Linked DNA regions of Bombyx mori. The protein of the gene in region 1 binds, or shares a complex with, the protein of each later gene. Links are inferred from orthologs where the notes say so. Each region holds a gene or a part of one and is shown on either strand. Other genes may lie near its edges.

Region 1 (3,653 bases):
GGGTCCTGGCTATTACTCTCACTTATAGAGTTTTCTCACTTATCCAGTTCTCACTTACTCAGGTTTGACTGTATTTCATTTTTCAAAATTGGCGCGAAACTAAGTACCACATCTAGGTGCATGCTATACATCACGTGTTGCACCTGGTGAAGTCATTCGTTGTGAGTAGCGTTCATCTTGATGAAAAAATATGTTCAATTTCTTACATTTTATATTATTATGGTTCCTTAAAAAAATCCATAAAATTCTGGAAGCTTTTAATTTAAGATCTCATGTATGTACTTATCGCATATTTCACTATCGGTTTCCGCTTGCTTTTATTTATCGATAAGTTTCTCCTGTAAGTCATCTAATTTAAAATTCATACAACGTTAACACCGTAATAAATTTTATTTATTTCACCAAAAAACAAAATCGTACATTAAGTACCTACATATTTGAAAATAAAAATTAGTCTTCTTGTAAACTCGAAATTCAAAATTAAACGGCCCTAATAGGGCTGTGAAACTTTCTTTTATTTTTAATACGCTTTTTTAATACCGCGCTTGACTACAATTTGCCAGTATGTCCACACGGGCCCTTTTTAAGAAAATATACCAACCCAAAAATAAATTTGAAGATGAACGTAATACTATTTTATGCCATAATAATTCTTTGAACGATTATATTCCTTCAGTAATGGATGTTTGTCAAGATACTCTAGGAGGATTTTATATCTTGGACCTGACAAATCTTGATGCCTTGTCAATCGCACCTCTAGTGTGTGTACTTGGAATGCTAATTCCGCACTGAAATGTCAAAAATTGTAGACGTTATAGCAGATCTGTTTTAAAAAAAAAACGACTTCTGTAGACGTACAGAGGGAGTCGGAGTCCCCGTTCATCTAGTATTAGAGGTCATTAGAACCGAAAAATAGTTTCGCCCCAAAAAAAGCGCACAGACGCTTAAATAGCTGATTTCGATCTAGAATTAACATTATGAAGTCATGCATATGCGACCTTTTGCTTCTAACAACTGGCCACTGCGAGAATGCATTCAATCTGACATCAATTTTTAAACTGACAATATCACAGTAAATCATTCGTTAGTAGGCAAAACAATAAAAAAATATTAATTACGACTCCACGCCTCTTCTAAGTCAGATCGTTCATTACAAGCATTTTATGGAGCGCAGACTTTTAGCTATGGAGGGAGGTAAGGAGAACCGTCTTATATGGGAGAAACTTGAAAAAGTGTCCCACTTTCAGCACTAAGTAACAGTTCAAAAATCCTCCAGAATGGCGCTAGCATAGGAATGGAGCAGTTGTTAACTGATTGAAGTATGCCGAGTTAGGAAATATAATATATTTAATGAATAGAGTAGTTAGTAACAGTGTAATATACAAGACCTCACATGTTTACGTAGTCCAAACTAATTTCGTCAATATAACCTAAAATTATTGCTGTGGTAAAACGTGGAGACATCGATTGCATTTTCTTATCAGCTTTAAATAAAATACTTTTTATGATTTTGTAGTGCTTCAGTTCTTTCGTCCTTTTTTATTTCTCTATCTTGTTCTAATAACGTTCAGCGCCTTTTTTAAAATTTACCCGGTTGCTACTTAGCAGCGCCACCCTTATTTAGCAGATTTTAACGGACACTTTTTCACATCAGAGACGATTCTCCTTACCTCTACCCTCCATGCTTTTTGCGGTCAAGTTAATACGTCAAAATAAAATGGAAATTTACGATCTATTTCATGGATTATTTCAATAGATAACTTATACTGACCTCATAGTGAAGTAGTTACTCTCTTTCTCGGGTGTCAGAATGAATTGGTTCGCTAAGTACCACAGTCTCTTGTTTTTGTATTCGTTGTTCAACTGTTAAATTTGAAAATGAAGAACAAATTTAATACAGCAATAGAGGCTGCTGCGGATAATTATGAAGAAAGCAATAAAAATCGCCAATTATTTTATGAGAAACACATTGCTGATTCGCAAATTTTTGTGCAGCGAAAAAGTAATTAAAACCAGAATCTCTTACGGCTTTATAATAATAATAATAATAATAAAAATCATTTATTGCCTTTCACATCACAGAAAATAAAATGAAATACAAATAAAAGAAAAGAAAAAAAAAGAGAAAAAGGCAAAAGGAGGTGGCTCAGCTATTGCTGTTCGAGGTTGATAAATCGAACAGCGCTGATTTTCAGTCACCCCCGTTTCCCCTTGGTTCTTTGCGGGAATGAAGGCTAATTACGTGTGTACATACTTAGAATATGGTATAAATTAGTAAAACTAGTAAATTATAAAAATTTAAGAAAAAAACAAAACAAAAATCAAATTAAATTGTGAACCCTAATACATACATATATAACATAATAAGCAAACAGTAACAGCACCCCGTAGGCAGCCCACAACGAAACAACAAATAAAATAAAATAAAGCACGATAATACTATTACTAATACTGGCAAGCAGCACAACATTTACACTTGTACATAAAAAAAAAAAAAATAACTTAAATAAAAGGAGGTTTTCAAAAGCAAGGATAAAACTAGTTCCTATAAATACTATAAATTAAATTAGTTTTTGTGAATCCAATAGAAATGATTTTAAACGATTAATAAAGCCATGCTTTGTTACAATGTGACGAATAGGTGGTGGGAGATCGTTCCAGCAATGCGTAGCTGCGTATTTAAACGCTCCCCGAAAAGCAGCTGTTTTATATTTGGGCGTCAACAATGGCTTAACAGCAGCTCGTGAGCCATACCTGTACTGAGTGCTTCTCCAATCTAACTTCTCATACAAATACCTAGGTTCATGTGTCGAAATCACTCCAAATAGTAAGACTGCTAAGTGCAACCTTCTTCTAGCTGCCATTTTCAATATATTGTGATCATTTAAATAGGGCGTTATGTGTCCTCTCACAGGAATGTCAAAGCAATACCTGGCACAGGCATTTTGAATGCGTTGTATTAATTTTTCAGTTCTCGAGAGTAAACAGGGACCATAAACAGTATCACAGTAATTTAATTTCGACAAAACTAGACTATCGATAAGCAACTTCCTAATGGGTACACTGACGTACTGTCTAAACGAGTACAGAATCTTCAGTCTGTAAAAACAAGTTCTTAAATTCTTTGTAATATGGGCCTCGAATCGCAATTCGGGATCAATTGTCAAACCCAAACTGCATGCTAACTCCACCCGATCAATTTCCTTACCCGAAACAGTCACCTTAGGATCGAGTGATAAAATCTTTGCTATCTGAGATTTACTGCCTAGTATCATGTATTTAGACTTAGAGGGGTTCAATACTAAGGAATTCTGTTCAGACCAAGAGACAATCCTCTGCAGATCCTCATTGATAAAACTGACAGCAGAAGGGGTATCTCCAACATCAAAAGAGTGGTATAATTGTACATCGTCAGCATAAACATGGTATTTACAATTCTTGAAACACTGAGTGATATCTGCACTGTACAAAATAAATAACAATGGTCCCAGGACAGAACCTTGGGGAACGCCTCTAGTAATCGGCTTAGAAGTAGAGGTTAGTTTAGTTCCATCTTCTTTCCGTATCTGTACAAATTGCGTTCTACTCGACATATAACTGCTAAACCATTGCACAGCATTATCAGAGAACCCATAGTGAGTTAATTTTGCTAA
Region 2 (4,374 bases), on another chromosome or scaffold:
CTGGACATTAGAAGCAAAAAGACGTATACATTTTGTGCAAAAAAAGCTTTTAACTGATTTGATTGAATTTCGTTTTATTTTACTTTGCAGAATCGAGCTCTTCTTACCTATTATTAAGCCTAAGAATAATCATATGAATGAATTTCCCATAAAACAGTGTATACATAAATTGATATCGATGTCGAAGTTTTCAAACCGATTACGATTTGAACTGTTCAGTTGGAATAACTGCAATAACTGATATGCGTCGTTGTATCAGTAAAAACATATAAAATACTTCGAAAACTTAATGATGCTGTACATTAATATTTAATAAATTATTAGATTTTTATGCGATTTTATCTCATGCTTGAGTGTGAATAAAGTCGTAACCTTGATTTTGGCGTCAGATATTAAAATAGGTGTGTTTGCAAATCTCTAAATGGGACAGCAAACTGATGTATGGTTACTACGGAAGTTAAAGTTACTAAGAATCACACTAAATCTCTTAAAGTGGAAACAACAGTGCAACAATGATCCATGATTGATCGACAAATGTACACGTGCAGTAATTAAAAAAGTCCCTAACAACAATTTCAGCAACATTACTAAAAAACTGTACATTACGCATTAAATAATTACATCTGAAATCCTAACCTGTTCCAGTTTTCGCTTCGAGTGCTTTTTTCAATCTTTCTACCAAAGCCGGCTTGTTTCCCTTCGTATCTAACCCGAGAGCACCCAACTCGGACCTCAAGTCCACCACCTTCATTTTAGCAGGATCCATTGTATTAATCGTCTGATAGTATCCACTTCACAACACTTTAAAGTTTTTAAAACACATGTGCTTAAATAATATTAATTCTATTACTATCTGAACGAAAATTCACGACAGAAAAAGCGCCAACTAAATCCAAAATGGCGATTTAGCGGCGCATCAGCATAACGGAAGGAAATGGCGGTATATTATCTATGGTGGGGATTGGCGATTCCAGAATTTTTTGGAATAAGCTATTTGTTGTAAAATTCAAAAGGCCAAGGGTTTCTTATCCATACTACTCAAAAGTCTGGAAGCCTGCTGTTTAATCAGTATAGATTGGATTGTTTTTACAATGAATTTATTTTCTATTTGATTTTCTATAAAAGCATATTTTTGTGTTTTTTAAAGTATATATTTTTTTTTAACTAATATTTTTTGAATGTGGTACGACAATTAAACATCAACATGTCAACAATAAGCTATTAATTTGTACATTGGTTGAATTAAGCTTTGTCAATATTGTGGAGGAGCTGTTAAAACTGGGAGCTAATCCTAAAAAAAACTAATTTATGGATAATAGGTCTAACTGTTTAAAATATTGCATTGTCAACGGTCCTTGATAAGTACCTATGTCAAATTTTGATTTCAGTCTACGTTTTGAAGGGGGTCAAAATCATGTTCAAAGCATCCGTCACATATATACATACTAACTTACAGCAGCTCTGGTGCAAAATAGAACTAAAGCTTCGTCGATGACACTAGTGATAACTGATAGGTTGTGTTGCCTGGTTACGGAATATTTTTTTCAATTTAATACGTGTACTTATTAGTGTTACAAATCTTATAATTAAACTATTAGTTCATTATGGCAAGAAAAGAGGAACCTAAAAGTTAGTTATTATTTGAAAGATTTACTTTATATACATTTAATAATTTATAAACGAGCGATGTAAATACTGTGTAATTTAGTATCACTCATTAAATTTTATTATAAATGAATACATACATAAATACATTTATTAGTTGAAATTTAAACAAAACCAAACATTTTTATTGGTAAATAGATATTACGTCTGGTATAATATCTGATATATGTCATATATTGGTATATCTCATATACCTTAAATGTATCTTTCTAGTTCAACCAAACAATGATTTGGAGAAAAAAATAATTGAAGCTTTCGAAGTATTTGACCATTCTGGGAAGCAAGTCGTAGATGTAAGGGAAATAGGAACAATTCTTCGATCTTTGGGTAATGCTTTTTTTTCTGGTTTTCGTTAAATGTTTTAATACTTTACTAGTGTAATAAAGAGTATTTAAAAAATTCTGACTCTCACGGTAAATTAAAAGACACGAGTCACCACGAGTAGCCGATGGCGCTTGGAACAGTGCCGAAGTATCGCGAAATCATACTAAATATCGTAAGAATACAATAGCCGTGTTTACAACGTAATTACGCATGAAAAAAGTCATCATTTTGCTTTCCGTGCTCCAATTTTTCACCCTTTTAGGATAATAGATATCTCAATTTTAGTATGACAGTGATTATTCACGTCTTCGAGTCGCTACAAATTATTTAGGAGGAATAGTCGGAATGAAGGTGCTCTCCTCTCCGAGCCGGTCTGTGTGAACGGACCCTTAGGCCGTTTTTTGTTTTGGAAACTTCTAAGCGGATAACTGTTTGAGTACTAAATAGACTGTTTACATGGTAAATTTTGAATATAGCAAAAGAGACGTTAAATATATGTTTTTTAAAGGTTGCTGTCCAACTGAAGCCGAGATACAAGAGGTGATTTTAGCAACGGAAAACAAAGAAGCAACTGGAAACGTTCCGTTAACGAACTTTTTACCTTACATGTGTAAAGTCATGATAGAACATAGGTTTGTAATATTAAAATTAAAAAGGTTAAACAATTTTAAAATTTTGACAGTGTGGCTCAATCTTCGTTGTTATTTTTCATATCTTCTTTTTAATATAATACTGGCAGACCCGGCCACACGTTGCTGTGGCTAAGGTTTTTGTTTCTAATTAAAACGCGGCCGACTATGCTAATATCAAAAATTGACAAAGAACAATTGGATTTCACTGTATTGCGTTTACTACGAAATAAATTACCTACACTTATACTTTAGCCTAAGCATCATGTGGTGCTTATGCCATTAAATTGTAGCTTATGGAAACGTTGGAATTTTTGACAAAGCCAATTACGCCATTGATCACCGAGATAAGTAGATTTTGATGTTAGCTTTCTACCTTTCGTACGTGAATTTTTTAATTTAATTTTCCATAAAATGTTCATTATGTCAGGTATTTTATTTATTAATGGGACAGGTTTTATCCGGCGAGCGCTGAAATGCTGTTGGCTGCATTCAGATATTTTGACACGGAGGGACGTGGGTACCTCACTAAAGAGAGGTTCGCCAAGCTTATGATGGAAGAAGGAGAGTCATTTACGCAGGTACCTTAAAATTTCTTATTATTATCTATATCTATATATATAAAAATGAATTGTTGTTAATCAGTCTCGCTAAAACTCGAGAACGGCTGAACCGATTTGGCTAATTTTGGTCTTGAATTATTTGTGGAAGTCGAGCGAAGATTTAAAAGATAGATAGATATGAAAATGCACGGAATTTAATAAAAATAACAATTTTGTTTTTCCTTTGATGTGTCCCCTGTCGGTCTTTTATTTATCGATTGGGGTACTACGAAGTCTGCCGGGTCAGCTAGTTTTAAATAAAACAATTCGTTTTCCGGCTGCCTTCACTTTATGTCGTATAATATATTGTTACGCCGGTAAGAGTAACGCCATCTATCGCTGAACAGCCGAAACGAATACCAAATGATAGCAACATCTAGAACGCTCGAAAAGTACAACGCCATCTATTGTCAGGTAGCGGAAGCACGCATTGAAAGTGCTCGACTTGTGAGGAATGTTCTCGACGATTCTAGGGATGTCGTATCGACTTTATAAGCGTTGCAGAGATGCTGTCGACGTCACCCAAAACACGTCATTACGGATCCTCCCGATCCATTAACGGTGCTTTTAGGTACCACAAGCACCGGTCACAGTCCTCGCCGAACTAAGTTTCTCGCCGAATCTTCTCAGTGGGTCGCGTTCCCGATCCGGTGGTAGATTCTGCGAAGCGCTGCTCTTGCTAGGGCCAGTGTTAGCAACACTCAGGCTTGGGCCCCGTGAACCTTCATGTTAGGGCGAAACTGAAATAGTCTCTCGTGTTTGTGAAGTGTTTTAAGTGTTCTAAGAGATAACACAGTTTCAATTCGTACTTCGATAGAATTTTTATTTATACCGAATCGTATTATAATATAACATTATTTTTTATAATTAATAATCCTAACACTATACAACAATAATCCATAACATTAGTTATTATAAAATAATACCGTGTTATATGTTATGCTAACAAATACTATACTGTTGTATATGGATATGAATTGACTCGGTTAAATTTCAACGAGTATTCTTATGGCTCTCATTTTTTTCATGATACAGGAGGAGTACGATGAAATGATGCAAACAGCGTTAGATCCTGTAACAGATACAATAATGTACGAATATTACATCAACCAACTTATGGTGAGCGCATTCTATTTTGTTGTTTTGTTTATATT

Evidence for each region.
Region 2: dynein regulatory complex subunit 7 (region 1) and dynein regulatory complex protein 8 share a complex: the UniProt entries of both Homo sapiens proteins name them as parts of the nexin-dynein regulatory complex. The link is inferred for Bombyx mori from reciprocal best matches to the Homo sapiens genes DRC7 and DRC8.

Annotation. Positions count from the first base shown.
Region 1 is NC_085131.1:3,580,329-3,583,981, forward strand, and holds the end of dynein regulatory complex subunit 7, read right to left. Parts: intron 1,864-3,653; coding exon 1,772-1,863; intron 789-1,771; coding exon 632-788; 3' UTR 372-631; downstream 1-371. UniProt on the Homo sapiens protein: Component of the nexin-dynein regulatory complex (N-DRC) a key regulator of ciliary/flagellar motility which maintains the alignment and integrity of the distal axoneme and regulates microtubule sliding in motile axonemes.
Region 2 is NC_085130.1:5,994,816-5,999,189, forward strand, and holds the start of dynein regulatory complex protein 8, read left to right. Parts: upstream 1-1,471; 5' UTR 1,472-1,604; coding exon 1,605-1,629; intron 1,630-1,878; coding exon 1,879-1,992; intron 1,993-2,497; coding exon 2,498-2,621; intron 2,622-3,072; coding exon 3,073-3,199; intron 3,200-4,016; exon of another isoform or gene 4,017-4,255; coding exon 4,256-4,339; intron 4,340-4,374. Other genes in the region: heterogeneous nuclear ribonucleoprotein U-like protein 1, read right to left, coding at 637-766. UniProt on the Homo sapiens protein: Component of the nexin-dynein regulatory complex (N-DRC), a key regulator of ciliary/flagellar motility which maintains the alignment and integrity of the distal axoneme and regulates microtubule sliding in motile axonemes.